Linked DNA regions of Tamandua tetradactyla. The protein of the gene in region 2 purifies or fractionates together with the protein of the main gene of each other region. This does not show direct contact. Links are inferred from orthologs where the notes say so. Each region holds a gene or a part of one and is shown on either strand. Other genes may lie near its edges.

Region 1 (9,894 bases), on a different chromosome or scaffold from region 2:
CTGACTCAAGTAGGAAGTTAAACAAATCTCCTTCCTGAGGCCTCAGCTTCTTCAACAGTAGAATCAAGAGGCTGAACATGTACTATGATCTCTTACGCCCCTTCCAGTTCCAAAAGCAACAGACAACTAGATCATCTTCTCCTTGTGCTGGTTATTTCAGACCAATTTAGCTTAATTCCTACATCACTGTCCTTCTTAAACTCAAAACAGAAGTTTCACCAAATTTGAATGTTCTTACGTACAACTTAACACCAGAGCCAAATATATGTAAGCCATTAACACTTTAAAAAAAACAGAAACTCAGCCTGTTTCGCGCATACCTATTTCATAAAAAGCAATACAGCATTGGCCTTTCTGCTATTAAAACAAAAGTATGAGTACTCATTTGAATTCGAGCCCCTGTCGCCACAAGAATAAACAAAACCAGCAAACGACAGGCTACTTCGAATGTGTAACTATACATTTGCCCTCATGTGAGCCAATGAGCAATATTACAGAGTGCAGACCTTAAAGGCCACCTAATCCAATCCAGTTTTGCTCTAGATAAAGAAATCGGATGAAGGACTAAACCAAAATCAAAAAGCCAGTAAGGCAAGAGAGCAGGACTTAAATCCAAGCCTTACGTATGACGTAAATTCATGCTCTTCCCTCTACACTGAATTGACTCTTAGATCCTGACACACTTTCCCAGCTTTAAAATTTTAACCAAGTTTAAACTTAATAGTAAAGAAGACATGGTGATTAGACCAGTCATTTGTTCTACCTTCAATTATGTCATGGGAATAACGAAGCATTATGGCTATGATACATTAGCTAGTAGGAATTATGAAATAGCTAAATTCCACTCATCTGCCAAGAAAGTGCTGACCCCACTAAAATCCTAACTGCCTGACATTCTCATGATATTGTGTAACATACGAAAAGATGCAGAAATATTTCAATATGGATGTAGCAGACATATATCAGCTCTTCATTCTGCTCTCCAGAACATTTCCTAGTGACATTTTACTACAAAATTCAGGAGAGAGCAAAAAGAACAAAGTTACTCAACAGTATAAATCATTGTCATAAGCAAAAGTTTCTATCAATATCAGCAATTTGGCATTTTTTGATCTCAAGAAAGAAATTATCAATAAGAATATCTACTAGGAATTCTCTATATGCCAATAGTTATGTCATGCATAGCGTTTTTATTTAATTGTAATTGTTTTAAGAGAGAGGACATTGTTTCAATTCCCAAGGATGGGATATGATTTAATAAGGATTCCTTTATAGCCCACCTATCTACTCCCTCTTTTATCTGCATTCTTCAATGATCAATACTGTTAAAGAGGTAGAAATCTCTCAAAAAAAGAAAATGACAATTCTTCTCAAGTATTCAAAAACCAGACTAAGATCTTCTCAATAGTCTGGTCTCAACTCACATTTCACCTCCTCAGAGAGACCTTTCCAGACCTCCTTGCTAAAGAAAGCAGTGTCTAGCTAAAGCAGGCACTTTACATTAACCAACTACTTGTCAGGTCTTGGAAGTGCATGAAATTATTATTTATTATTCCCTTGCTTACAAGCTTATTTCTGTTTATGCCTTTCACTCTGGATTAAATTGAAAGTTCCATGTTCCACTGCTGTCTGTCCGATGTCTAAACAGTGCTGGCACATAATAGGTGCACAGATAACTGCTGAGTATCTAGCCCCAAAGAGTAAGTCACTTTTTGTCATACTCTGTTTCTCCTGGAAAAGCATTAGTAAAGGACAAATCACATGCAATTGGCAACGCATTTACACAGCCTACTTTAGCACAAGTTTTTGATACTAGGACAATTCAGGGTATAAATCCTTTTCATGGCTTTGGAATGTCCAATACTTCCAGCTATGAGTACAAAACCTCTCCAGGCCCACTCACAACACACTTCTTTTCTAAAGCATCTCAACAATAATTTCCTCAAAAGGAAATAACGAAATAAAGTTCTGGCACAAATCAATCTTTCCTGTCAGGTTCACCATGTTGAACATACTTGGAAGACAGCCACACAAACAAAACCAAACTCTACAAAATTAAGTTGGGCTGAAGTTACATAAGAGCGACAAAACTCCAGCTTTTTCCCTGTCACTCCTCCCTTCTTCCAAGGAACCTTGACATGTGAGGCTTTTAAGTGCAATGTCCACGCAGGTGATAAAAATGCTTATCTGCCAACAGCTTCAAAACAGGTAAGGAGATTCTAATAATGGTCCACTTAGAGACTTGAAAATTTTCAGTTGTACTGGGTCTGGAAGCTTCTCTTAAAAATTCCTCTCTTTAAAATTACCTTTAAGTCCATACTTCAGGGTTTCGAAATATCAAAACCCTTTTCACACAGTTCCCTGAGTTCTCCCATAGCCACGGCTCCTCATGAGTGTGCTAAGCCTACCTATCAGCGCCTATGATGCTAGGAATACAGATCTTTCAACAAAAGCGCGGGTTCCCACGAGCGACGTATCGAAAGGAGGAAAAAAAATAATCCTTTCTCCTCCAATGCTAAACCCAAGTTGCTTCTTCCCCGGAGTTTCCTGCTCCCATCCCCCTCCCCATGCTGCTCCCCTCTCACTGCCCAGTTTATCCAGTTTTAATCTGGCAAAGCCTCTCTCCCGGTTTATTAAGGGTAAACAATAGAAATGTCACAAGGAAACTCAGGAAGTTGATCAAGTCGCTAATTGCCATCGTTTAACGATTGTAGATAATTACTATCTTCAAAATGTGGTTTGCACAAGAGGAGAGGGAGCCGAGGCGGGCGAGGTGGGTGCGCCCCCCGCGCTGTCCCCCGGGGCGGCCGCTGCCACGAGGGGCGGCCCCGCGTTCCGGTGCCCGAGCCCCGGGCGGCCGCGTCCCTCTCCCCCACCCCAGGACACTCTCGGAGGATCGGCCTGCCCGTCTGGGTCACAGACAGTTCACTGCCCTCGGGCTCCGGCTGTCCGCCGCGGTCACCATAACAATATGCAAAGCGCAGCCCGAGGACGCCCGCCTGGCAGATCGCACAGCCCCGCGGCGCCACTCTCCGAGTTGCGGGGTCCCCGGCTCGCCTTCCGCAGGGACACAGATCCCCGGGGACAGCCCGGGTGGCCCTCCCTTCTCCGCGAAGTGTGTGTGTGTGTGTGTGTGTGGCGGGAGGTGGGGGGGGGGTCTCCTTCGAGACCGCAAGACGCCCGCGGCAGCGCCGCTCAACTCCAGCCCACGGCGGACCGCGGACCCGGTGGCCGCGCGCTGAGCCCCGCGGGGTGCTGGGTCGCCCGAGTGCCCGCCCCCGGGGCCCTTCCCGCCGCCCGCGCCAGCCCCGGCGACCGCGCCGACCCGGCTCCGCCACTTCCTCGGCGGCCGGCCCCGCGCGGACCGCGCAGCCCGGCGCCCGCCGCAGCCCCACGCGCGCGCGAGCTGGTGGGGGCATCCCGGCCCCGCCGTCCCGTCCCCTCCCGCGGTCCTCAGAGCGCGCCCGCGCCACCCGACCCCGGGCCCCACTCAGGAAGGCAGGCGCTCAGCGGCCACCCGGGCCGGAGGTCTCCGGACTCACCCCAGCACCACCAGCTCCCCGTATTTCACCGGCTCCTTATTGGGGGCGCAGTGCTCCTCCTGGCCGGGGGAAAACATGGAGCCGCGCTCGGCCTCGGCCGCGATCCCCTCCGAGTCCGCGCCGCCGCTACAATCCCATCCCGAGAAGGGGGTGAGCGCGCCGGGGAAGGGCACGGCGGCGAAGGGGGCGCGAGGCGGCCAGTCCCGTGGCTGCTCCGTCGTGGCTGCGCGGCTGCCCCACCGGGCTCCCCGGAGCTCCGCGCGCCGCGGCCGCCCCGAGCCGGACCCGGCAACAAATGGGACCCGGCAGCAGGGGGAACCTGCCCGCGCCCAGCGCCAGCGCCGCCGCCGCCGCCGCCGCCGCCGCCGGAGCCCCGCGGGAGGGGGGAGCGAGGGAGGGGCGGGGGCAGAGAGCGGGGGAGGGGCGGGGCAGGGCCCGCGGGGCCGCCCTCGCGGCGCGTGGGCAGGTGGGCGCCGCGCCTCGCTGCCCCGGGGAGCCCCTGCCGCCGCCCACCCCACCCCGCCCGCTGCGCAGCGCCTGCCCGGGCGCGTGGGGCCACCGGCGCCCACTCCCCGCCCCCCACCTCGCGCCGGGCGGCGGATCGGCCCCCGTGTTATGTAAACATAGAGTAAAAGGAAAAAGAAGTTCTTAAAGGGGCAGCTCTGTTTTTTTTCTTCTGGCTTCCTTCTCCAAACTTAGAGCGCGGGGTCCTCCGCCCACGCCGCTGCGCTCTCCAGCCTCAGAAGGCTGCGCAGAAGATCCCGAAAGCGCCTCGGTCGAGGTCCCCAAGACTACTTCATGTTTTGCCGAGTTTAGTTAAATATAGATAAAGGACTTCCTCTCTAGGTCTAAAAGCGTTTGGTTCCCGTTGCCACTGTGTCGCGTCATGCGTATGGAGGTGTCGCACGCACGCATCTGGGTGCCTCTTCTTCCATAGCTAAGCCCTCCAAAGCTGGAAGGCATCTGGAAGTCGGAGGGCTTTACTCATCAGTGCCGGATTGAAGGAAGTTTTGACCCCACTCCATTGTACGCGACGTAGCCGCCGTTTGTTCTCAGCAGAGCTCCACATGGTAGAAATAGAACGAGTAGAATGAGGTGTGTTTTGTTTGTTTGTTTGTTTTGTTTTTTGAGCCTTGTTTTGTTTTTAAATCCATATTCTGTCCACATTTCCCAGAGCTTCTTTCGTTCTCCTAAGGGGTTAAGAGGAAATTCCCTGCGTGGAATTTTGGGTAAATCAGTATTCCTTTAGTCCTATGATTTAATCAATACACCATGTTTACTTTTTATACCTTTCTAAATCGTTACTGTATTATTATGGCTCTAAAATATTTTAGAGTTATAATAGCTTCACTGGCTGCTGTTTTTCCTCATCCTGGATTTTATTGTTTCAAAGTTTATTAAGCACTCATAACATTCTAGAACATCTGCATATTATTGCCAGCCACTGCCTCTCAAGACCGTTAAATATTTAAAGAAATAAGTACTGCCATAGCTACCCTGTGTTTAACAGTGACTACTTGGCTATGACCCTAAGTAAAGGGCCAGGAACAAAGTAATTGCATCTGTAACTTTCCAGTCTGCTCAGCACCCTTTGTGTAACATTGTGTGACAGGCTATTATTACAGTGACAACGTGCTTCAGGTATTTTTATATGTTAGTAACTGATTTTTTTTTTAATTGGGGCTTGGGAAATAAAGAAGTTATTCTAAAGTAACGAAAGCCATACCGTTGGTAAACCAAAGCTAAAATTTTATTCAACGATTACCTTATTTCAGCTAATGCTAGCAATTGCGTTCTTCAACTCAATACAGCTAGTCTGTACATTTTACATATTCTGCATATGTTTGTGCATACAAAACTCACAGCTTTAACCAACCGGCTTTTACGGAAGGACTTTTTTTCTCATAGTGTCTTGGTGTGCTTTTCTGCCTGAACTGCTTGATTAATGTTGTCTCCATCTACTGTCTTCTCCTACTTATCATATAGATGTGTGATTAGCAAAGATCTATCAGACTTATGCAGCAATTACACAGTTCCCTGTTATTACAGTACCTGGCTCTGTCATCCTGACTTCTCTAGGCCTATTCTGTTTCTGCTGCTGTTCTCTAGGCTACAATTACCTCCTTCCTCCTTCTCTCTTGGCGTGCTGTGCTTTTGTGCGTTACATTACACTGTTCTGTCTCTATTTCCTCCTTGCTGTGCTCTGCATCTGCTCTTCAGAGAATGGAAACCCATATTTATTAACTTTCTACTAAGTCCCAAATACTAGACTGAGAGTTTCCCGTAGGATGCCCCAATGTTCGAAGGCCCTGCATTCTAGCTACCTGCCCACTCTGGCCCTGACTTCCCCAGGTGCGTCCCTCCCTCTCTACTCTTTCAGCATATCTTCAGGCGTGGTTACTGTGCTCAGTCAGGTCTGTCTTTACGGAGATCACTTGAAGTGCTGCTTCTGAGAGTTTTTGAACCAAGGGAGGCTTTTTATCCTAGGCAGCTCAGGGCTGCTCTATTAGTTTTATGAAACACTCTGGCCTCTAAAAGCCCCGACTGGGGATAGCAATCTATCAATCAGGGCAAAGAATGCATTCAGGGGCCAGGCAGGAACCCCAAATGAGCAAACTGTCTGAGAGGAGAATGACAAATTCGTGAGCCTGTGCCATCGAGAAGGGGCATCTGCCACCCATCTCTGGCCGACCGTTGCCATATGACAATGCCAGCTCATGGTTGCTAGATTTAATTTTTTAAGAGAAGCCAGAAATCCCTATCTCATGCCAAATTTCCCAGTTTTTAACTGTCCGTAACTCATTCAAGTGTGAAAAAAAAGTAGAGTATAGGCCCACACAAAACCATGTCTCTATTTTGCCCAAGGACCCAAATTTTCTTTCTCTGATTTCAAGGAAACACCCATGGGTAAAAGTAAAGGGACGTTTCTGAAGTGGGATCAGATGGCAGGGCTGGGAGGGTGGCAGGGTGGTGGAGAGTAAACTGGAGTATCTCAGAGCATTGGTGGCTTGTGTCCTGAATTATTTTGCTCTGACCTCCCCCCTTCTCTGCCCCTCCCGCACGAGTTGTTCACAACTTAAACCAATTAGAACATTACGCTCAGCATCCCCAGCTATACGAGGAATCTGATTGTAACATGAATTTATTCCTTCTTGAATGTAATTGTTTTAGTTAGTAGCTCCAGTCTGGTGGGACAATCTGGCTGTACCATCTGCCATCCTACTGAAAGCCAGGGTGGGTCTGGCTGACCAGGGTGCCAGGGTAGACCCCCACTCCCCGCTTGACTTTCCATTTATGTCCCACCTCCCCGCCCAAAAACCACTCTCCTGAAGAGAATGACCCACCCACAGCATCCCAAAGGGAGTTGATGCCATTTCTTGAGCTACCAGAGGCCATATGATTACTCCACAAATAAATTATGTAAAGCTTTCTCTTGATTTCTTCCCCTGTTAACGTCTACCTCTTTTAAGCTAGAATTAAATGATTTAGTGGGGAAAAAAAATTATGTTTGCCTTAATTATACCTTAAATAAAATCAGTTAAATAAGCTCCAATATTTCTAAAATTGAGAGTCTAATATTTGGTCATCCGACTTGCCACCTTACATGCTAATGTTTGCCAATACTAAAGAGTAAAAAGACACTTTCAGAAATATGTTTGGGTAGACTGATTAGGACGCTATATATATATGTATATATATTTGATGAAACCTTGGACTGCATTTGGTTTGTAAAATTTTATTTTTTTTATAATTGGAAGAGTCACATAAGCTCTTTGTCAACAATTTTGCAAACATGAAAACAAAATTTTTCTATCTTGTTTTAAATAACCCGTAATTTCATTACCCAGAAAACCACCCTACTTATCATTTTTGTATATTTCCTTCATTTTTTTCTTTTTAAATTTGGACATAGTTGTGACAGTACTGTGTACAATAACCCTTTGTGCAGTCTGTTATCCAACCTTTCTTTACCTGATGCTATCTTGTGAACAGTTTTCTCTTGCCATTAAAACTTCACAAATTTTTTTTGTGGTTTCATCATTTCTATCAAAATTTATTAACCTTTCCCTTCTTATGGAACGCTTGGAAAATTTATAATTTTTCTGTTACAAATAATAAACATATTTATGCTTGTTATGACTGCATGAGCACTCATTCCTACAAGTGACATTATTATATCAAAGGGCATAAATATTTTTTAGACTCTTTGATGCCTATTTCCAAAACGTTTTTTGAAACAGTTGTGCCTGCCAATTTACACTGTAACCAGCAGTGACTGAGAGAACCTGCCTCAGGGAACTCTCTAGAGCATTTTTGAATCCTTACTAATTTGACAGATGATAATTTTTTATTTTCATTGTTGTCATTGCTATTGTGAGGTACCTTCACTTTTTACACAGCGAAGAATTGGGTCACATGGAGCTTGGGGTCAATGAAACCGCAGGTGTTTGGCAGATGAACTGCTTTCAAGCAGGAGCCACCTTAACGGAACCTGTGCAGTTGATTTATTGAATCTAAGTGAACTATTAAATACATTTTCCAGCTATAGTTCCAATTTGTTAGTTCCAGACAATCCAGTGAATTCTTTTTATCTGCATTCTTTCACACATATTTTGGTTATGTTCATGGGGAATACATCCAGATGGTAGGCAATTCAAATAATGCAAGAAAGGAAAACAAAATGTCTTAATGCTACTTTTGTCCTACAGTTCTCCTCCCTAGTGGAAACTGCTGCTGTCAATTTTCCGTGCATTTTATCGGTGATATTCTGTATGCTTGCATGTGTGTGTGTGTACACAGTTTTTAAGAAAATACTACAAAAGGGTAGCACACTATATACACTACTCTTAACCTATTTTTTTCACTTAACAAGGAGCAGATGACTGAATGAAAAGGTGGCGCCACTTGTGCACAAGACCTGAAGGGCTGGCATTGCATACAGAGGGGACAGCAAATACAGATACTCCAAGGGCAGAGTGAGATTGGCATACATTAGAACTAGAAAGAAATCCATGTTTCCGGAGCTTTGTGAAAGAGCAGGAAAGGAGTAAAAGGTGAAATTGCAGAGGTGGTAGGAGGCAGGTCATATAAGGCTTGAGAGTAATGATGTAAAGGTTTGCTTCTCTTTGATATTGAAAGTCGCTGGAGAACTGGGTGGGGTTGTTGAAATTATTTAAAAATTCATCTAATAATTGTGCTTAATTATTAATTAATTAGATATCATGAACGATCATAAAATGCTTTGCTAAAATCAAGATAAAACTTTTAGGAGCTATATAATAAATGTTTTTTGAATAAACCATTTACTTATTCCTTTCTTATCCCAAGTCTAGAGTTCCCGTGAACAGTGCATGGAACCTGTAACAGTGAGATATTCCTAGAAGAGGATGTCCCTTCTTGCATTTACCGCTGAGAGAGGCGCTGAAAGAAAGAGGTTCAACTAAAGCACCAGACAGGCATTCACGAGACGGGAACCCTAAGAGAGCCGCAGAGAGACGGCTGGATTAGGAATCAGAGACCTCAGTTCTACATCCCTTAATCTCTTTATGCCTCAGTTAGCCCATCTGTGAAAAAGGAATGATGATTTCCTGCCTAAATATCTCACAAGGTTTTTGAAGAAATCAAATGAAATAATGAATGTCTCAGTCATTTGTGTACTGCAAAATATTAAAACATGCAGTATTATCATTTCAAATAAAACTGCAGGAAGAATACCCTGGCGGGGGGGCTGTAGAGATATTAAATGATAACAAATCAGTAAATGTGTGTTGAAGCCTTCCTGTATTTGCCATGTGCAGCCCTGTTATAACAATCCGTGTGATAAATACGTATTTAAGACTGATGATGGTTAAGGCACCATGATATATACCGCAAGTCATACGGCCATCAGTAAGACACAAGAAACACCAGGCACCAGTCACAGAGTCTAACGGTGGAGTTGAAAGTTTTGATCCCCAAATCAGGGAGGGAATGGGGCCCTGGATGGCAAACTCTGCACACTCTTTAGCTATCCTTCTCTTTGTGAAATGTTCCCGAGTAGCGCTGGACGTCAGCCTCTCAAGGAGAGATGTACCGAAAAGAGAACGCCTTCTAAACTGTGAAGGGCTATTCGATATTACGAAGGAGTACTGAAAGATTAGCTTACCTGAGGAAACTGGATCTAAAATGTTGATCTCCTATTTCAGCCATCTTCGACTAGCTTGTCAATGTTCCTTCTCCCTTAAATTATTCACTTTATTCATATCTTTTCATAATTCTTTCTAAAAACTCAACCATTGTTTTTGCACACGTGAAGCGACTGGGTTTGTTTAGCAGCAAGGTCAACCCAGGAAGCAGTGACCTGGTCTCCATT
Region 2 (10,208 bases):
AAAAGCGGAAGGAGTGGAATTCCCTTCAACAACCCCGGAGGATTCTCACTGTCTGCACCCCAGTACCCCCCAAGCCAAGACCCATGTCCCCAGCTTCCCCGTGGGGACCCCCTCACCCTTTCCAGGCGGGGCGGCCGCTGTTTCCTCCGCCGACGATGGCGTTTGAGGAGGCGGGAGGCGCTGCTCTGCTCCGTGGAGCTGCTGAACCTGCCAAGGGGTTGGGAAGGACAGTGCTTGCAGGAGGAAGAGGTCCCGGGAAGAAGGAGAGGATTAACAGGAAGGAGGGAGGGGAGGAAGGAGGAGGGGGGCTGGGAGTCCTGGGGAGAGAGCTGAGGAGCCGTACCGGCTCATGGTGTCATCCTCGTCTGAGTCCCCCAGGCTGGTGCTCTCCAGCTCACTGGTCATTAGGGTGGAGGAGCTCTCATATCCAGCCAGATGGCGCTCCAGCCTCGAGGGGGCGCTGGGCCTGTGGCCCCCACCTGAGGATGAAGAGGAACCTCAAGAGCCGGGCTTCAGGCTCTGAACACCACCAAGGCTCGGGTCTGGCACCCCCCCCCCCCCGTCCCAGCCCCCCTCACCGCTGTGCTCACTGCTGTCTCTCCGGCGAGGTCGCTCGCGCCTCAGGGACACTACTGACTCCGTCTCTGTCTCAGGGTCCAGATTTTCCCGGCTGCTGGATACATTAGGGCTAGAGGGGCAAAGATGGTTTCTCCCCCGCATCAGGGAGACAGGGCTCCAAATCCTCAGTTTCCCCTCCCAAGGGCCTTAGGCTCCCTCCTCACCTTCCTCCCCAGACTCAAGAATCCCCAGGACTCACTGGAAGGATGGAGGCCTGGAGTCACCAATGCCGCTGGTCCTCTCTGGTGGCAAAGGGGGTAATGGTGGTGGTGGAGGCACCTGTTCTGCCCGAGGCTCGTGGGCTGGTGGGGGAGCCATCTCTGGTTGGGGGTTATCTGATGACACTAGCTAAAAGGGTGCAAATAACAAAACGGGCTCAATTGGGAGGCAGGGCATGAGTGCTACGAGTAAGGGAGAGGTTTAGAGAGTCTGAGAGACTGAGAGAGCCTAGAGAAGCGCCCAGAAAGCAGCAGCAAGCAGTAGAGGCTCTAGAGGAAGAAGGCTGAGGGGATCCAGACCCCAAATGGGCAGGAAAGCAGAAAGTCAGGGCCTCCACGACCGAACAGAGGGCTACAGATGCTGGGGGGAGCTGGGCAATGTGGAAGGGCCTGGGCCCTTACAGTCAGGGCCCCTTACCCAGGAGACCACCCTTCCATTGAAGCAGGGAAGGCGGGCATTGTCATCTGAAATTTCTTCCTTCACCACCCTGCAAAGAGATAAGATAAAGGTCAATGAGGCTGGGCAATTTTCCCCCAGCTCCCATCCACATTTCAAAGTTTCTGCATCCTCCCAACCTTCCAGCAGCTCAGGGATGTTGACTTTCTCTCCTTATCCAAGTCGTATTCTTTTACTCTGCAACACCTCCCTCTTGCCCTGAGAAGGCTCTAAACTCAATTAATTCCCTTTCCTTATTTTAACTTCTCTCCCCAGCTCATCCTTGGGGGCTCAATGCTACTGCAAAGATTTCCTTGAGTCTGATTCAAATCTCTCAGTCCAATTGAAAAAACCACCCTCCCATGGCCACCCCAGGAGCCCAACATATCCAACCTTACCAGCCTTGCTGGTGACCTCATCCCACCCCCATTTCTCTTCCTCACACACCTACCCTAAAGGCTTTGGGCTTCATCTCTCTAATCATGCTCCCCTTTATTTTTCTTTAACTAATCTTCCAGAGATCTATCCAAACGTGCTGCTTTGCTAGGTGAAAATAGCCATTAGTCCAAAGAACAGCACTTCGCCGTTAGGCTGAGCGGTCCCACAGCAAAGGAGCCCATCCTCCCATTCCCATGTGCCTCACGTGGCACAGAACTCTGCAGAAAGCAATCTGCTCAAAAGGGAAGCCCAGGCCTACGGGTCATCTCTCCACTGGGTTCCTTATGGTAGACTGGACTTGGCCCTTCTTGTCAAGCACCACATCAAATGAGGAATGCCCTTCCTGTTGGACACCAGGCCCTGACCACACAAGCTGGTATCCAACGCTTAGGAAGCGTTAGCAAATATTTGACTGAATGAATAAATAAATGAACTATGAGACTCTGGTTTCTCTATTTCCTCTCATACACACATTCTCACACCCAAATTGGGACATCCTGTTGATTAATCCTTTAGCCTAATATGGGTTCTGAGAGCTTGGATATATGCCAACTTAATCCATTTGCTACCAGCATGACCTGTTCTGTATCAACACAGCCAGTTACTACTAATCTCAGTGTAATGTAGTTTCCGTCCCCAAATCGCAGTCTCAGGACAGCCCAGTGACTCCAAGACAAGTTATTCTGTATCACTATAACCTAGTCTAGGACTAGTCAACCTTGATACAAATAATGATAATTACTAATCACTGAGAATTTACGTGTGCCATGAACTTCCACTAAGCATTTTATTCAGAGATTATCTTCATTTCACAGTTATGCACATCAAAGTCCCAGAAAGTTAAATATGTTGCCCAAGATTACAGTGCTGACACATAAAAGAACATTGATTTAACTCCAAGGGAACTCTCCAGACAGCACTGCTCTCCCAGTGTCAGTCAGCCCTTCTAGGTAGAACACAGTCATAATTCTTCAAGAACTCAGGCTATCCCAACTTAATCTAGCCTGCCTCCAGAAGCACTGAGACTGAGTGCCCCTGAGGGATTGTCCCAAAGGCTATATAAAAACATAAGGGCTTGCTCTGCATTACAAACAGCCTAGGGTTAGCCCAGGATAGTCCAGAAGGTCCCAAATTACTCCAGCAAAGCCCACTGTAATCTCACACAGCCTAGAACACCCCCCACCTGCAGCTGTCTACAACAGTATAGACTGAGATATCCCCATACAGCCGTCTGTACTAGTATAGACCCTAACTGCCCCAGCTGCCCCAGTATCAAGTATTCTAATAAAACCACGGCGGCCCCAAAACAAACCAGGATCAACCATACAAGTCTGTCTAACCCAGGAGAGACCAGAATAGACCACGTTTCTCCAGAACAGCCTAATCTACTCCACGACAGCCTGGAACATCCCAAAACCGCACTGTCTGCATTAGTAGAACCTAGACTGTCCCCCCAAACTATCTCATTATAGGCCCGAAATGTCCCAAATTGCCTCATGATAGCCCAATCTATCTCAAGAGATCCCTGTATACTCAGGGTGCTACAAGACTGCTCAGAAGGTACTCAACTACCAAAGGACAGATCCATCTAGTTCAGGACAGTCTACCCCCCAAATAAGCCCGTGTGCCCCGCTCTAGTTCAGTATAGCCTAATCTTCTCTAATCTGGTTTAGTACAGCCCAGTCTGCCCTTCTACAGCTAGCTCCGTGTGCCTCCATTCGCCGAAGCATAACCTTGTCCGTTCCGGGAGAGTCAATCTACCCAGCCTAGAACAGTCTGCTCCACGAAGCCCAGAAAATCCCAGTATGGTTCAGAACAGATCTGTGTCCCTCAATATTGCTCAATCCACTCCAGCCCCCATCGGTCCTAGTCTAGGCCTCGCGCTCACCCGAAATCTTGATCCATAGACTTGAAAAAGTACTTAGCGCCCGCGGGCCGCTGCAGAACGCTCTTGAAATCGCCCAGGGTGATGCGCTCGGCGGGGACAGGGATCTTCACCAGGTAGGGAGTCTCTTCCTCATCCAAATGGTAAATCACCTTCGTCTCTCCGACACCACCAACCCCCGCACCGCTGCCCGCCATGGTCTCGTCCGCGCGCTCCCGGGCTCCGCCGCCCACCCACCCGGGCTGCTCGCCCACGCCGCGCCTGCGCACACCCGCACACCAAAACGCGACAGCGGACAAGGCCGGCAGCGTCCGAGAAGTGCGGGAGAGAAGATAGCGGGTGGCGGGGGCGGGCCGGGCGTGGGGCACTACCCAGAGCCGCAGACTTCGCCGCCGACGCCGCGAGCAGACACCGCTGCCCCGCCCACCTCTCCCTGTGTCACGTGACCCACACCCGGCCTGCCTCGCGCTCCCCGCTGTCCCTCCGTCACGTGACTTGTCCCGATCACGTGACCTCCTTGATTCCTCCTAGCGCCCCCGCCACATGAGCGCTGCCTTCAGCAACGGTCTCCCAACCCTCAACAGCCCCACCCGAAAATGTGTCCCCACCCGTGTCTTCCACAGCACCCGGGCTGAATCTGGCTTCTGCCCTCTGAAACAGGTGGCCTACTCCCACCCCGCTCTACCTCATCAGGGCGGGAAGCTCAAGACAACTCTGATCCATTGAAGTGTGCTTGTGGGGGGTCTTAGACTGGAGATGAGGTGGGGCAATGCGGACCCAAGTCCTACCCTGGGGTTGTGCAGTTATCCGATGGTAAAGACCCACTGCAGGGGCATTTCCAGCCTGGACTTTTCTTCCCACTTTTCCATAGCCTCCCTCCCAAACAGGACAATCAGTGAGAGCTATAAACACAAAAGAGCCCATTTCGCTTTATTTACAACATGTAGGCTGTCTGTACAGCTGGCCAATATTATTAAAAACAAAAGAGGTGAATGAGAGAAATGTCACCTTTCTGCTTTTCTTCCTCCCTCAGTCAGGCTCTGGTACTCCACCTTTGAGCGGCCATGCCCAAAAGGGGAAGCCCAAAATTAAAAATACAACCGATGTTGAAGAAAATAAACAGGGAGATAGGAAGAAGAAAAGATGAGGAAGGGGCGGTGCTCTATTTACACTAGAGTTTACAGACAACTGCCTCATCCCATCCCAATTTCAACCCTGGCCCAGAAAGTGAGGCAGGCCCAAGAGGCAGGGATTTTGTGTCTAGGGACCCAGACAACCTCCAACCCCAACTGCTATGGATCCAAATTCAAGTCCAGAGGGTGGGGAGGAAGATAGGGTAGGACCATGAGATACTCATTTCCAAACAAGCCTCCCTTGGGAATTCCTGCCTTGAAGTAGGACAATGTCCAAGCTCCAGGGGATGGGTTGAGGACCCTGAGGCTCAGTTCCCAAGTCAAGTTGTCAACTGGAAGTCCCAGCCTGGACTTGGTGATGTCAAGGCTCTCCAGATTTGGGGGGTCCCCCTAACCGCCGGGCCTCTGGCCGCAGTTCCTTGCATTTCTGGCAGTAAAAGAAGTCAGGGACATTGGTCTTCTTAATCTTAGCACAGGAGAGATGGATCCATGTCCCACACAGGCTGCACTCAATCATGGGCCGCCCTGCAAAGGGTTTTCTGCAGTAACACGTGATGAGATCCCACGAGTCATCACCTAGGGAAAAGAAGGTTTGCTTGGTGTCCTGCTTGAGCTCTTGGGGGCCACGACTTCCCCAAGCCCCTCCTCCCACCTGCCCCTGGGCAGCCCCCAACCCCCTCACCTGATTCTACCATGATGTCCTCATCCATGACCCGCATCTCCCCTTCACTGGAACTGGCATCTCCATCTTGGCTTGTTTCAGTGCTACCCACCTCCTTGCTTTCACTGTCAGTGGGAGGGGCTCCTTCAGGAGGCCCTGTGGCAGGGGGTCTGGGAGCCTCCGGGGGTGTTGGGAGTACAGGGGCTGGGACTTCACCCCCTACTACTGCTGCCATCTCCTCTTCCTCCTCCTCTTCTTCTTCTTCCTCCTCCTCTTCAGAGTCTGTATCACTAGGGGGTGCTCGGGGAGGCCCAGGAGGTGGTAGTCTATCCCCCCGCTCTGCCTTTTTCAACTTCCGTTTCTTGCTCTTCTTGATTCGAGACCTCTTTTCCCCATCTCCAGGGGCTGACCGAGGCCTCCGAAGCACCCCAAAGCCAGACCCCCCTCCTGGCCCCAACTTTCTGTTCTTTCGGTCCTTCTTTCGAGGAGGTTGGGAAAGGTCTCCCTGGGAAAGGGACACTGGGGTGAGGGCAGTAGGGGGCCGGGAGACATGTGTTAGGGATGTGGGAGAGAGTGGAGATGCCACTTTGGGCCCATCCAGATCAAAGAGAGAGTCCTTGAGCTTCATCTTCTCAAGTAGGGTGGCACTGTCAGGGCCCTGCAGGCGAGAGAAAGTGGCCCTTGGAGGTCCTGGCTGGGTGGGACCTGCTTGAGCCGCCCTTCTCTTGGATGATTTTGCTTTCTTAACAAAGGTCTGGATGGTACGGAGATCTGAAGGGGCCGAGTCCCAGCCATCACTGTCTGCTGCACTCTCACCTCGCAATGGAGAGCTGGAGCCAGAGGCTGGCCAGTCACTTTCCTTAAAAGAGGAAGAGACCAGGGTCAGCAGGGGACCCAATGTCATCCCTCTACAAACCTAACCTGAAAACTAGACTGTATCTATGCCAAAATATTGTAGCCATCCACCAAATCTCACTCTATTCTGGAAACTTATTTCTACCCCATCCTCATCTCTTGTTGAGCACTTCATGTTACTTCTGCCTTCAAATTCTAGCCATCTCCCCTGCTGGGGCAATTGGAACACTGTTACCCAGACCCATGTTTCTTTAGCTGTATCTGTTTAGCCTCATTTGTTACCATTTTCAGCTCCCTAAAATGTATCCAGAAGGACCTTCCATTCACAGCATCCCAAATACCATTCAAAAATCTTGACTAAAGACCCAAGAACCAAGTTCAGCCTCTTCCATTGCTACCCAAGCCACCTATTTCCAATATTCTCCCAGATACTAATTTTCTCACTACAAACCTAGTTTCCAATTTTCCTAGTCTTACATATAATTTGTTAAACTCGCCTGTAAACTAATACAATTCCATTTGCTCAAAAGCCCTTCTGGGCTACCAGCTTCAAGCCAAGTGTTCTCCTGTCCCTACCTCTTTGCTAGGGGGGATGTAACCCGCATAAGCCAAGACAAAACTGCAGAATTTGTTGAAATCCTCAATTGTTCTCCGGCGTTTCTCTGGTGGCTGAAAGGAAGGAAACATGGATCACATGGAGACCAGAAGCTGGGGTTTCAGAGGGGCATTCCCAAAAACATAGTTCCTGGAATGAGGAATCTGGGAAAGCTGTGGGGATAGGGGGAAGAGCTGGGAAGCTAGAAGGAATATTGGGTTGCAAAGGCAAGGGAAACCTCACCTGAGTCTCTGGCTTAAGGGTCGGAGGTGGATCTGTGGAAGCAATAAAAGCTGAGTCAAGGTACTAGCAAACAGTCCATGCAAACCCCCCACCTTGAAACTTTGGCGATCCCAAGAGAACCCCCTCTTCTGCCAGGTCATCTGCCAGGCCAGCAGGCCCCCAGCTGTGCTGGAACCGCCGCCGTTCACCTCCCACCCCATGAGGGGCGGAGCTTGGGCGCGGCGCCCTCCCAGGCCTCGCTATACCGCTCCCCTTCCCCCCACCGAAGGCCCGGTGCCCCGCCTTCCCCCACAACTCACGGTTTCCCTAGATTCTAGACTACTCGGATCTCTTAGCGCCCCACCCCGCCAAACAGCACCCCGGGCCGAGTCAGTTCGCCGCCCGCCCCTGTCCTTCACAACGTGCCCAGTGTCCCGCGTTCCTGCCCCACCAAGCGCTACCGCTCCAGGCCTCCGGGATCGCACACGCCGCCCGCCGGCCCCCAGGATCCGATATGACCACGCCGAACCTCTCCCCGCCCTCCGGCCCCTTCAACTCGAGCACGAGGCCTGGCGTGCCCCTCACCCCCACCCCAAACACACAGACACACACATCACGTCCGGGACCGACCAGAGGGCTTTAACCCGGACGCTGCCCCACCTGCCCCCCCACGCCGCGCTCCCCACAATTTCGCCGTCCCTCCGCCCCCATCCGGGGCTTTGGCCCCTCCCCGTCTCGAGCTCCTTGGGTTCCCCGCCGGGCCCCTGGGCCCAGTTCCGAGCTCTCACAGGCCGTCCCCCCTCCGCCCCCGTACTCACCACCAAGTCACTAGGCTACGGACCCCTAAACTCTAGGCCCCCCTCCCCCAACCAGCGACTCTCTCCCTTCACAGCAACCCCCGCCGCTGCTGCCGCCGCCCCCTTCGCCCGCCGCAACTCCCAGGCGCTAACCCTCGCCAACCAACCCCCCCTCCTCCGGCGAATCGCCGGTCTTAAGCCCCCACCCCCACCCCGCCCCACCGCCCCCTGCAACTACCCAGCTCTCCTTGCTTCCCGGCCCTCTCTCTCCAACTACCCATCGGTACAGGTCCCTCTTCAGCAGACAATACCCAGACCCCTCTTACCCCCCACAACTACCTGCCCACTCCTCCAGCAATCACCAGGCTATCTCCGGCGGCAACTACCGGGAGCACCGGCACCACCACCACAAACTCCCCCACCCCGGCGAACTACTGGGCTCCTCACTCAGTCCTCTTCCACGACCTCCCTCCCCTGCAACTCTTTGGGCTTCAGATTCCCCCAACCTCCCAGCTCTGGGGTCCCAACCTGCGGGAGGCCCTTTCGGCCCATAACCCCAGAACACGGAGCTCCGTGTTTCCAGCTCCCACCCACCCCCACCCCCGCCACACACAAACACACACACACACACACATACTGTCTGATTTCCAACTACTCCCCACCTAGTCCCCACTCCTATTTCTCCAAGGTCTCTCAACTCGTCGCTCTCCCACCCCAGGGGCAGGCCCCCGACCCTCTCCCGGCGCTACCCCGCTGGGCACCGGGGCTCGACCTCCAAGTTTGCCAATTGGTTCCTCGCCCGCCCCGCGCGGCTCAGCTCTCTGTGCCGGTCTAGAGCTCACCTTCGGGACTGGGCTCCGCCATGGCTTCCAGCATCGCCCCCTCCCCTCCTCCGGGTCCGGCGCTCCCCTCCCCTTAGCCGGGATCCCGGTACCGCCTCCGGTGCTCGGTGCTCCTACTACCTCGCTCCACGGAGGTGTCTGCCTCGGCCCGGTTGTGACACGAGTCCGCTGGCCGCTGCCGCCACCTCCCTCTACCACTGCCTCCCGCACTCCCGGACCGGGCCCCCTCCCCCCGCGCCGCCGGCCGCCTGCTCCCTCCTCCTCCTCTCTTCTCCCTCCCTTCTCTTTTCTCCCCCTCCCTCCGTCGGCGCCGAAGCGCAAAGCACCAAGGGGCTTGTAGTCCGACATGGAACAGCGGAAAGAGGATTGTATAGGCCTCCGAGACTACAGTTCCCAGCAAGCCAGAGGCTGGCACAGGCGCACTAAGCCGCTCCCCTCCCCCGGGGAGTGGCGGGGATATTGGGAACAAGACAGTAGAGCGGAAGAGCGCGCACAGGCTCCTGGGAAATGTAGGCTGGGCGGTCCCAAGAAAGAAGAGGAAGAAGGGATTAGAATTCTCGGCCACCATCGGTCTCATTCGGCATCTTTTTTCTCCCCCAGGGTACCACCCCTCTTCCGGCCAGGCAGAGGAGAGATTTCTGGGAGATGAAGTTCTCCTAGTGATAATGGCTACCTTTCCCCCATCTTCCCCTCCATCCCTTCCCTCCTCCCGCCCTCCCTCGGATTCCACTCCTTTGGAGCCCACAGGTCAAGACGGAGTCTGGCCAAGTGACAGGCAACTGAGGACAGTTTTTTTTATTCCCGCCCACACATAAATACTCTTCCTTAATCCAGAAGTTCGTAACAAACTTGGATATGGTTATCTAAAGCAGGTGCTTTCAAACTTTCTTCACAGGAACCCACAGTAAAACACTATTTTTTACATCAGTACCCAATAAACATGAATATAAAACTGAAGTTTCATAAAATGATACTGAGAAGCATTCTCATTCCATCACCCATCATAACAAAAGCACTCTTTTTCATGCAGAAAAAATCTCAAAAGGATAAACCAAAATGTATTTCTATCCCACAATTTGCATCCATTCCTCTCTCCCCACCACTGAAGCCCATGACGCCTGAGAAAGGCTAAAGGGAGGGGGGGGGTAACACAAGGCAAAAATCAGTTCAGCTTGGTGGTTTCCTCTTTATTGATGTGCCTCCTACCATCCCCCCACAATTTCAGTCCCTTCCATCTACCCCCCCCCCAAAAAAAAGGTAGTAAAAAGAAGGGATTGTTGGGGTTCTGGACCCCATGGGCAGTTAGAAAAGGAAGAGAAACCAAAACAGTCACTAGATGTGACAGAGATTGACAACCAAGAAGTCTGAGGCAGAATGGGAAAAACGGCTGAGAAAGGTGAAGAAAAAAGAAATAGGAGGGGTACTAGGAGCCATCTCTCCTGCTAGCAAGGGCTGGAGAGAAAGCTTCAAACATTAAGAAGTGCAGGTCCTGAAGAAGAGAGGCGGTG
Region 3 (9,594 bases), on a different chromosome or scaffold from region 2:
CCAAGGGCACTGGCATTAATCTTCCCCTCCTGCCTCTCACGTGGTACGATCCTGCCTTCTGTCCCAAGTATTGAATTCTTCATCCACACTGAGGTCCCAGTCCTCAGATGTTTGGCTTCTCTTTCTGTTGATACGATGGAGATCAATACCACTGTTTTAATTACCTATCAGATTCTTCATGAGATCCTGAAGCTCATAAAGCTCAATCTGGAGATCCTGAGGCTCACTTTTTATCTCTGAGCAGGGCTTTTGGTTTTAGATCTGTCATTGATATACTTAGAGTATGTACATTTTTTTCCTGAGGGACTTGGGTTCAACTGAAGGAAACCTGAATCTCAGTACCAGCATAGCCTGTCCTACCTCTTCAGAGTCAGAGGCGTATCACAAGCAGAATATATAAATTTCTACTCAACCCTACCTCACATCCCTACAATTTACTCAATTTAACTAAAACACACACACACACACACACTATTACATCCAGGCCCAGTGCAAATACTGGTGTTATAACACTTGGTATAAACAACAGTTCTCTTGAGCGTGTAGAGTTGTAGTTGGGAGAGACAGACGTAGAGACACATTATTTTACTGCAAAGTAGTATTAGGGAGCCAGGAAAAGGCTATCTTGAAGGTCAAGGAAGGCTCCTGGGAAGATGTGTTGGGCCAGCTGGTGTATAAATGAGTATAATACAAAGCATGATCTTGAAATAAAGCTTTGTTGAAGGTTCACATGTGAAATCTACCACAGAAGACATAAAGCACTCTGATACATGGGGATGTTGCCCGTGAGTCCACTGAACTGAACGCATGATTGACCCTTATGGTCCAGATAGCCCATCACTGTTCTGTGAGGGAGCAGTTTGAGCCTGGCCACTCTCTTTATAGACCAGGCACTGGTTATTGGCTGTGAAGTCTCAGGGAGGAATGTTGCTGCATGTGTGTGCGTGTCTCCCATTTTTTTCTGTTAATGTTTACATAACTTAATCAGTATTCTACATTGCTACCCTAGAATGCTCTGGAAATATAAGTGGTGGTAGAAATTTCTTCAGTTTGTCTGTAATCTCATGAGAGGCCCAGTGTGTTAGTTAGATTCAGTTGTCAACTTGGCCAGGTGAGCATACCTAGTCTTGTTGCTGCGGACATAAGCCAATGGTACGTGAACCTCATCTGTTGCTAATTAATCTGCAGTCAGCTAGGAGGTGTGTCTGCTGCAATGAGTGACGTTTGACTTAATTGGCTGGTGCTTAAATGAGAGAACACAATGTAGCACAGCCTAAGAAGCTCGGCAATTCCCATCTCAGCACTCCCAGCTCAGCCCAGGCCTTTGGAGATGCAGAAAGAAGTCACCCCCGGGGAAAGTTGTTGGAACCCAGGGGCCTGGAGAGAAGACCAGCAGAGACCATTCTGTGCCTTCCACGTAAGAAAGAACCTCAGTGGAAAGTTAGCTGCCTTTCCTCTGAAGAACCAACAAAATAAATCCCCTTTTATTAAAAGCCAATCCATCTCTGGTGTGTTGCATTCCAGCAGCTAGCAAACTAGAACACCCAGTAAGATTTTCTGCATGCCACTTCTGGAGAAGACATAAAAAGTGACATTCAATAAAGGAAGTGAGCTTTCTGCCACACAAAATACCTGTCTAAAGGGAATAAAGAATGACAAAGGAAGAGGGCAATTATGGGGGGCAGGAAGGAGGTTAGGTGTAGACCCCTGACACCAAAAGTCTACATCCACCACCCCCATCCTACAACCCGTGGTACCTAAGAAAGAGAAAGTCACACTCTCTGCCGAAGGTGAACATCTTTCCAAAAAGGTTCCTCTTGGACCTTTTGAAGCATCCTATGGCTCCTGCCCTTCGAGAAGACTGGAATGAGCTAAGCAGTATGGAGAGCCCATATATACATGCATGCACACAATGCCCATACAAATCCTTTCCTGGCTTTGCTTATGCTTTTTTTCCACCTAGTACTCTTCCTCACCTTTCCCTCTGGTCTTCTCTGAAAGCCCTGCCCACATAATATCTTTTCTAGGACACTCATATCATCTAGTCAAAATCAACTCATACCTTATGTTCTAGTTTGCTAGCTGCCAGATTGCAATATACCAGGAATGGAATGGCTTTTAAAAAGGGGAATTTAATCAGATGCTAGTTTACAGTTCTAAGGCTGAGAAAATGTTCCAATTAAAGCAAGTCTATAGAAATGTCCAATCTCAGGCTCCAGGGAAAGATACCTTGGTTCAAGAAGGCCGATGATATTCAGGGCTTCTTTCTCAAGTGGAAAGCACATGGCGAACACAGTCATAGTTTCTCTCTCAGCTGTTAGGCACATGGTGAGAAAGGCATCATCTGCTAGCTTTCTCTCCTGGCTTCCTGTTTCATGAAGCTCCCTGGGAGGCGTTTTCCCTCTTCATCTCCAAAGGTCGCTGGCTTGTGGGCTCTCTGCTTCTCGTGGCTATGTCATTCTACTCTGCCCTCTCTGAATCTCTCTCTCATTCTCCAAAATGTTTCCTCTTTTATAGGACTCCAGAAACTAATCAAGACCCACCCAAATGGTTGGAGACATGCCCCTACCTAATCCAGTTTAACAACCACTCTTGATTAAATTACATCTCCAGGGAGATGATCTAATTACAGTTTCAAACATGCAATACTGAATAGGGATTATAAGAAACAGTTGCCTTTACGAAATGGGATTAGGATTAAAACATGGCTTTTCTAGGGTACATACGTCATTTCAAACCACCACACTTTATCAGTACTCCCAGATTTCTGTCTTGATGTGTGAACTCCTCATGAGTTCTTTGTCATGTCTGGGTCCATCACATTTTTTGGTAGATGTATCTGGACAAATCTTTCAATTCAGCTCTTTTGGCAGCCACTACTGGGCACTACAGTTGACACACATGTGGATAATAGTGTTCATATACACCAATCTTGAGGTGAGTGCAGTTTGAATCCTGGCTGTGCCACTGACAAGTTGTGTAGTCTTTGGAAAGTTAGTTAACCTTTCTGAGTCTCAGTTTCTTCATTTTTAAATTGGAGAATTCTAGTAATTCCTATGTTACAGGGTGGTTGTGAGGGTCAAATGAAAGAATGAATACCAAACATTTAGAAAGGGCTGGGCACTCATTACAAGTTAGCTGTTGTTATTTGTAAGCCATTTGTCAACCCTAGTAAATACTAAGAGGCATGATGTGGGGAAATCCTGCCCCAAATCCCTAGTGGTCCCTCGCATGTGTCCAGAGCCCTTCAGGAGATCCAGCCTGGGTGGAGGCCCCAGGGTAAAGCTAGATTCATATTTGATTGAATACCTAGGACTGGGACTCAGGTGGCCATTTTAGAAATCTGTCTTCCAGAGAATAGCTACAATTCTATGAAAAGTTAGCCCTCAGCATCTTTCACCCTTCATCTTCAGGGGTATTGAGAAACTATTGCCTCAGATTTCCCAGCCTCTTCACAGGAAACTGGCTTCCAAAAGCCCAATATGTTTTTATATGAGACATCTTATCAAATCAGAAGTGTTATTCTCTGTCCCAGGGAAACCATACTTCTGGGAAATTTCTATGGGAATTATATAGAAATCAAATCCTAAATTTTCAACAGTAAGAATCCTGTATTTGTTAGCTATTCATGATGAATTTTCTTTTCACCTGATTTTCTGTCTTTGGGGGATTAATAATCTGTCTGGGAAGATGGACAGGTAAATAATTCAATGGGCCACGTGCTATAATAGAGCCATATATGACTGTACACTTGGAGTTGAAGACACCTTTCACTGTAGGGTACACCAGCAAATAAAAACAGCTTTTGGAGCCATTAAGAAATATCCTATCATTCATATGTATATATATATATATATATATATATATATATATATATATATATATACACACACACACACTAAAAACTTGATTGATAATAACATACATCTTCCCGGGGATTACTTATCAACCTCTTCTCTAAATCAAAGTTGGAGCCAAGCTTTTTTGAAGAGCCCAACTCTATTGTACCTAGTTAGTCATTCCTGTCATCAATTCTAGCTCTGAAATTTCTCTGACCTTTTCTGAGAAATTAGTTAAGTTTACATATGTGCAAGCAATGACAATTATGTTACAATATACTTCTCTACCTGGTATCTGTCTTTTAGTAAATACTATTTTGATTTCAAAAGCATTAAAATGTGAAAATCTTGGACTTATTTTTGAAGACATATGGTTTTTAAACTGCTTCTGGGTGACAAATGTGGAAATGATTAATTTTGCTTGAGGGAGGAGGTGACATTTAAGTTAAGTCTGGAAAATTGAGTATGTGTTCCAAGGCAGGTAAAAGTCTATCAAGTATTCCAGGTAAAGGGAAATCTCTATCATGATGCTTATCTCAAGTTATCCTGTTAATTGTTTTACTCCCACTAGCATTTAAGCGCCTCAAGGTCATGAACCATTTTTACTCAGAATGACTATTTAGCTCATTGTTTCACCATGTATTTATTTTATATTTACTAATTTTATTCATATTTATACTTGCTGATAAAATAGTATCTCTAATAGCTCATTGTAGAAAACTTGGGAAACACAGAGAAGCAGACAAACAAAACCTCTCATACAATTCTACTGTAATTCTGCTACCTGGAGAAATAACTGTTAAACATTTTGGTGTATATGATTCATGGCTTTTTAAAATTCATATGCATCTCTTTCTTTTTCTTTTTTTGCAAATGCAATTTCAGTGAGATATATTCACACACCGTATATTCCATCCTAAGTACTTTCTATTTTTTTCAAGCAAAAATGGTATCTTATATTGTGAGCTATTGATTGTACACCATGTATGAAATACTTGTATGTTAAGAATGTTCCTGTTTGTACTTTGTTTGGATTTGTCAATAAAAATAATAAAAGAAAAAGAAATGGTATCATACTATGTTTATTGGTTCATAATTTTGGTTTTTTTTTTTTTTTCACTTAACCATCATCTTAGAAATATGATCATTGTTTGCCTACCGGACCATCCCATTGAAGGCAATAATGTCCAGCCCCTAGGTTTTATTCCTCAGTTGGCCATACCTCCTGGCCGCAGTGGACTGAAGTAAAAGATCAGCCAACATCTGAACCAAAGACAACCCGTCAATGGATGGCCAGAGACTTAGCTATGGGGTAAAAAGATGACTGGGTCCAATCATATGCCACTCTGTGGACTATGGAATTGGAAAATCAAGGTGCTCCTCAGCCAGAGCTGTGGAGGAGCCGGAGAAATGAGAACGGAGAAGGCTGGTTCCCACAACGAGGAGGGTGGAACAGACCTGCAGAGAGGCAGAGATGCCCAGAGGAATAGAGCCATCCTTTCAAGCTTCCATCAGACCTGTTTTTGCAATTCCGGCCCATATATATCTTTATAATGGATGCCTCCCTTTCCTTTTTTCTTGAAAAAAAGTAAGATGTAAAGGAGCTTGCTTGGCTCAGCAGGCAGGGAAAGGGAGGTGGCCCACGGTTTTGATTTCAAACCGCCGACTCTGCGGCCCTTCCCTTAGAATTGCAGATAGGGCGGTGGCTCCGCTGGCGGGTCTCGGAGGCCCGGGGCGGCCCCAGTCGGTGCAAACCCGGCGGGCGGACTCCGCCTCCTTCCGGCCGCTGCTGCGGAGGCGCGGGGCGTGGGGGAGGGGGCCCGCACCCAGGGGGCGGGATGGGGCGGGGCCTGCGGCTCGGTCCCGCCCCCTTCCGCCCGCTCCCGCCGGCGCGGCAGGGCGGGGCCCCCAGGGTGGGGCCTGGGGGCGGGGCCTCCGGCGCCTCCGCGCGCGCAGTTGGCAGGAGCTGCAGCCCCCGCCGCGCGTCCTGGGTCTCTCCGCTTCCTCAGCAGAGACCCGGCTCGGCCGCCATGTCCGCCGCGGACGAGGTCGACGGCCTGGGCGTGGCCCGGCCGCACTATGGCTGTGAGTGCGGGGTTCCGCGGGGGCTCCGGGGCCAGGCCCGCTGCCTCTGCGGCGCCGTTTCCCGGCCTGGGGCGGTGGGGCAGGGCGTGCGGGCCGCGTGGACCCGGAAGGGCCGCCGGCTGGGCCGCAGGAAGCGCGGGTGGCGGGACGAGTCCCTGCGCCCTGCTCGGCTCCGAGCGGCGGGCGGACCCGGAGGGCCCCTGGGAGCCCGGGCGCTGCGACCCCGGAGCCCCACCCAGCGCCCGCCGCCCGCTCGGCCCCGGAGAGACGGCCGGGGGGGACGGCAGGACGGCACAGGGCGTGTCCTGGGCACCGAGCCCGGGCCTTACCGCGTCTTCGGGAGCCCTTCCCCGTCCTCGTGGGCCCTGCCCTGTCCTCGGGGTCCCTGTCCCGTCCTCGGGGTCCCTGCCCCGTCCTCGTGGGCCCTGCCCTATCCTCGGGGTCCCTGCCCCGTCCTCGGAGCCCTGCTCCGTCCTCGGGGTCCCTGCCCTGTCCTCGGGGGCCCTGCCCCATCCTCGGGGTCCCTGCTCCGTCCTCGTGGGCCCTGCCCCGTCCTCGGGGTCCCTGCCCCGTCCTCGGGGGCCCTGCCCCATCCTCGGGGTCCCTGCCCCGTCCTCGTGGGCCCTGCCCTATCCTCGGGGTCCCTGCCCCGTCCTCGGAGCCCTGCTCCGTCCTCGGGGTCCCTGCCCCGTCCTCGAGGGTCCCTGTCCCGTCCTCGGGGTCCCTGCTCCGTCCTCGTGGGCCCTGCCCCATCCTCGAGGGTCCCTGTCCCGCCCTCGGGGTCCCTGCCCTGTCCTCGGGGGCCCTGCCCCATCCTCGGGGTCCCTGCCCTGTCCTCGTGGGCCCTGCCCTATCCTCGGGGTCCCTGCTCCGTCCTCGGGGTCCCTGCCCTGTCCTCGGGGGCCCTGCCCCATCCTCGGGGTCCCTGCTCCGTCCTCGTGGGCCCTGCCCCGTCCTCAAGGGTCCCTGTCCCGTCCTCGGGGTCCCTGCCCTGTCCTAGGGGTCCCTGGGTCTGGGGGCCCTGTCCTGTCTTCGTGGCCTCTGTCCCGTCCTCGGGGGTCCTGTGCGCTCCCAGGCCAGTGGGGAGGTGCGGCCTTGGGCGAGTCACTTCAGCTTTCTAGGGTTTAGTTCCCTCTTCAGGATTTGAAAAGTAGAAAAAGAAAATCCACCCTTGGACTTCCTCATTCTTGGAACCTCCTTTTCTGTGGGTCCATGAGACATTATTAAACTGCAGGGGCTGGTACCACGGCCACAGGGGGTCCTTTTGAGTCTTTGGCGGTTTCATGTGTATTTATATTTGGGAATAAAATTTTGTTTTTAAGATAATTTTGCTCTTAAACAGTTATGTGTGAGGGATTGTGCCACATCTGGGAAATTGAATATGGGCAAGATTAGGTCCTGCCTTCAAAGAACATTTAAAATTAGAGACAAAGAGGTCTGCAACCTAATGATAATAAGGTGTGGTAAAGATAAAGTACGTGTGACCTGACTGGTCATAAGCAGTAAACAGTGAGTGAAGAGGAGGGTTTGAAGAAGGCAGTGTGAGCACAGGTGTTGACACTTGAGCAGCGACGTCCAGGAGGATGTGTAAAGTTTGACAGGGTGGGGTGGGGCAAGACACATGAAGAGGGAAGAGCACGAAGGAAGGTCATAAAGAGGAGGGCACTGTGCACAGTGGTGGGGAAAGGGCAGGGAGAGGGAAGAGATGTGTTTCTCTTGTTGGGGCTAGTTGTTGGGGCTAGATTGAGAAATCTAGCTCTGCCAAGGAGTTAGGGTGCTCTGGGTGTCCGTGAAGGAGGCACATTGCTTCCAGGGTAAGCTCACAGGCTTTGGAGGCAGACTGCCTGCGTTAGCTGTGGGGCTGAGCTCACCCAGCCTCACTTTCCTCATCTGTAGAATGGGAGTGATAATCACAGGGTTGTTGTGTGGTTTCAATGAGAGGATGCATGTAAAACGCTTAGAACAATTACTGCCACTTTGTTCTCAGTAACCGCTGGCTTTGGTTGTTCGTGAAATAGGGGAACAACAGGGTCAGATCTGTATTTAGAAAGAGTTCTGGCAGACAGACAAGGACAAATTTAGGCCCAAATCTCAAGAAACAGTATTTTTCTAGGTCACGTTAAAATTGAGTACGTGCTCATATTGTACCTAGAAGAGAGTGTAAGATTAGTGTAGTTGAAACCCCTCAATTCTTGTTTCAGGAAAGCCACTGTAGTGCACCTGGCGATACATGCAGCCCATGGTTACCTTGAACCTCTAGTGACTCACAGGAATTTGATGCTTTGGCATTCTTTTATCGATCAGGAAGGTTACAGAGCCCCACGTTTACGTTCTTCTTTTTCATGTTTCAGCTGTCCTGGATAATGAGAGACTTACTGCAGAGGAGATGGATGAAAGGAGACGTCAGAATGTGGCTTATGAGTACCTTTGTCATTTGGAAGAAGCAAAGAGGTAAGGATTGGCTGGCTGGAGAGACGATTGGGAGAAGGAAACTGATGTGATATGGATACAGATAAAGATCTCTGAATGTGTTGTAGGTGTGACTGAGGCTGATAGTCTAAGGAATAAATATAGGCATGTTATTTACTCATGGGAGCGACTGGTCTTGATGGCAGCTTATTATGAAACACTGGTGGACATTTATGTATACTGAAGAATTTTCAGATTTTTGCTGTTCAGTTTAATATTTATGGTGCATGTTTTGGACATGATCAGCTGTAGGAAAGAAATAGCATTTTTAGAATTTGAAGTTCTTGGCTTTTTTAATGTCTCGTTATCACTGGTTTTGGTTTATGTATGAGTTGATTCCTTTCTCCCCATGGCAGTGGAGGGGTATGTGGTTTAGGAGGCTTAGGAGTAGGGAGCAGTGATAAAAGACAGGTAACTAAAGGTGGCATCCTCTTCATTCTTCGCGAGGATCAGGTACTCCAGGGTTTTGTGGGCTTCCTCTTCGAGTATGGATTCATTTCACCATCAAAGGTCCAGTTCTTTTGTCCCAGTGTTTGTGGTTCCTTTGCAATTACATCTTTCCAGGGTAGACAGATGTAATTACAGATCATATATTCTGTAAGTCAGAGTTTTGGTGGAAAAGAGTAGGGAGGGTTAAAGAAAGACACTTGCAATAAAAATTTAATAAAAATCAAGGATGCTTCAAATGGTGCTAAGATATAAGAGTGTTTCTTTTTAGTTTTGAGAACTTTAAAAGTCTATAGAAAAGTTCAAGGAACGATAGAGCAAACATTCATGTATCTACTGCACTTCAGATCTTTCCCTTTTCTCTAAAAAGAAATAAACATAGACAGTAGGAGTCCCATTTGTATGTGTCCCTGGTCCCGTTTTCCTTCTTCCTTCTCCTAGAGCGACCACTAGTATGCATTTCCTGTGTCTTCTTTAGACCCAGGCTTCTTTTCTGAATTTAAAGCGCATCTGAAAGACTGGGGATGGGAGGGGGAAATTAGTGATGATTTAGAAGGAAAGGTCAGCCAGCAGGAGGTGAGTATGTTACTAGAAAAGGGATGTTTGGGCATATAAAGTTTGTAGGCCCTCTGCCACTTAAATTCTGAGTATCTAGTTTTGGAAGGTCAGAGGATTTAAAGCTGCCTGTGGTCCAGGGGATTATTTCATGCTCTGTGGACCCTTGGCAGCTCTCAGGAGGCAGCCCAGGAATGGG

The links. Proteins that work in one complex are often made in the same cells at the same time.
Region 1: the proteins of DVL2 (region 2) and PELI2 purify together in Homo sapiens (affinity purification with western blotting; 3 studies listed by BioGRID, with this or other methods). This does not show direct contact. The link is inferred for Tamandua tetradactyla from reciprocal best matches to the Homo sapiens genes DVL2 and PELI2.
Region 3: the proteins of DVL2 (region 2) and IQGAP1 purify together in Homo sapiens (affinity purification with western blotting; 3 studies listed by BioGRID, with this or other methods). This does not show direct contact. The link is inferred for Tamandua tetradactyla from reciprocal best matches to the Homo sapiens genes DVL2 and IQGAP1.

What each region holds. Positions count from the first base shown.
Region 1 is NC_135338.1:9,630,422-9,640,315, forward strand, and holds the start of PELI2 (E3 ubiquitin-protein ligase pellino homolog 2), read right to left. Parts: upstream 3,818-9,894; 5' UTR 3,620-3,817; coding exon 3,543-3,619; intron 1-3,542. UniProt on the Homo sapiens protein: E3 ubiquitin ligase catalyzing the covalent attachment of ubiquitin moieties onto substrate proteins. Involved in the TLR and IL-1 signaling pathways via interaction with the complex containing IRAK kinases and TRAF6.
Region 2 is NC_135332.1:61,099,608-61,109,815, forward strand, and holds the start of DVL2 (segment polarity protein dishevelled homolog DVL-2), read right to left. Parts: upstream 4,017-10,208; 5' UTR 3,793-4,016; coding exon 3,599-3,792; intron 1,325-3,598; coding exon 1,255-1,324; intron 967-1,254; coding exon 818-966; intron 710-817; coding exon 579-709; intron 480-578; coding exon 344-479; intron 208-343; coding exon 117-207; intron 1-116. Other genes in the region: PHF23 (PHD finger protein 23), read right to left, coding at 5,090-5,304, 5,411-6,248, 6,821-6,913, 7,083-7,114, 8,701-8,734.
Region 3 is NC_135338.1:98,910,370-98,919,963, reverse strand, and holds the start of IQGAP1 (ras GTPase-activating-like protein IQGAP1), read left to right. Parts: upstream 1-5,777; 5' UTR 5,778-5,869; coding exon 5,870-5,924; intron 5,925-8,275; coding exon 8,276-8,375; intron 8,376-9,594. UniProt on the Homo sapiens protein: Plays a crucial role in regulating the dynamics and assembly of the actin cytoskeleton.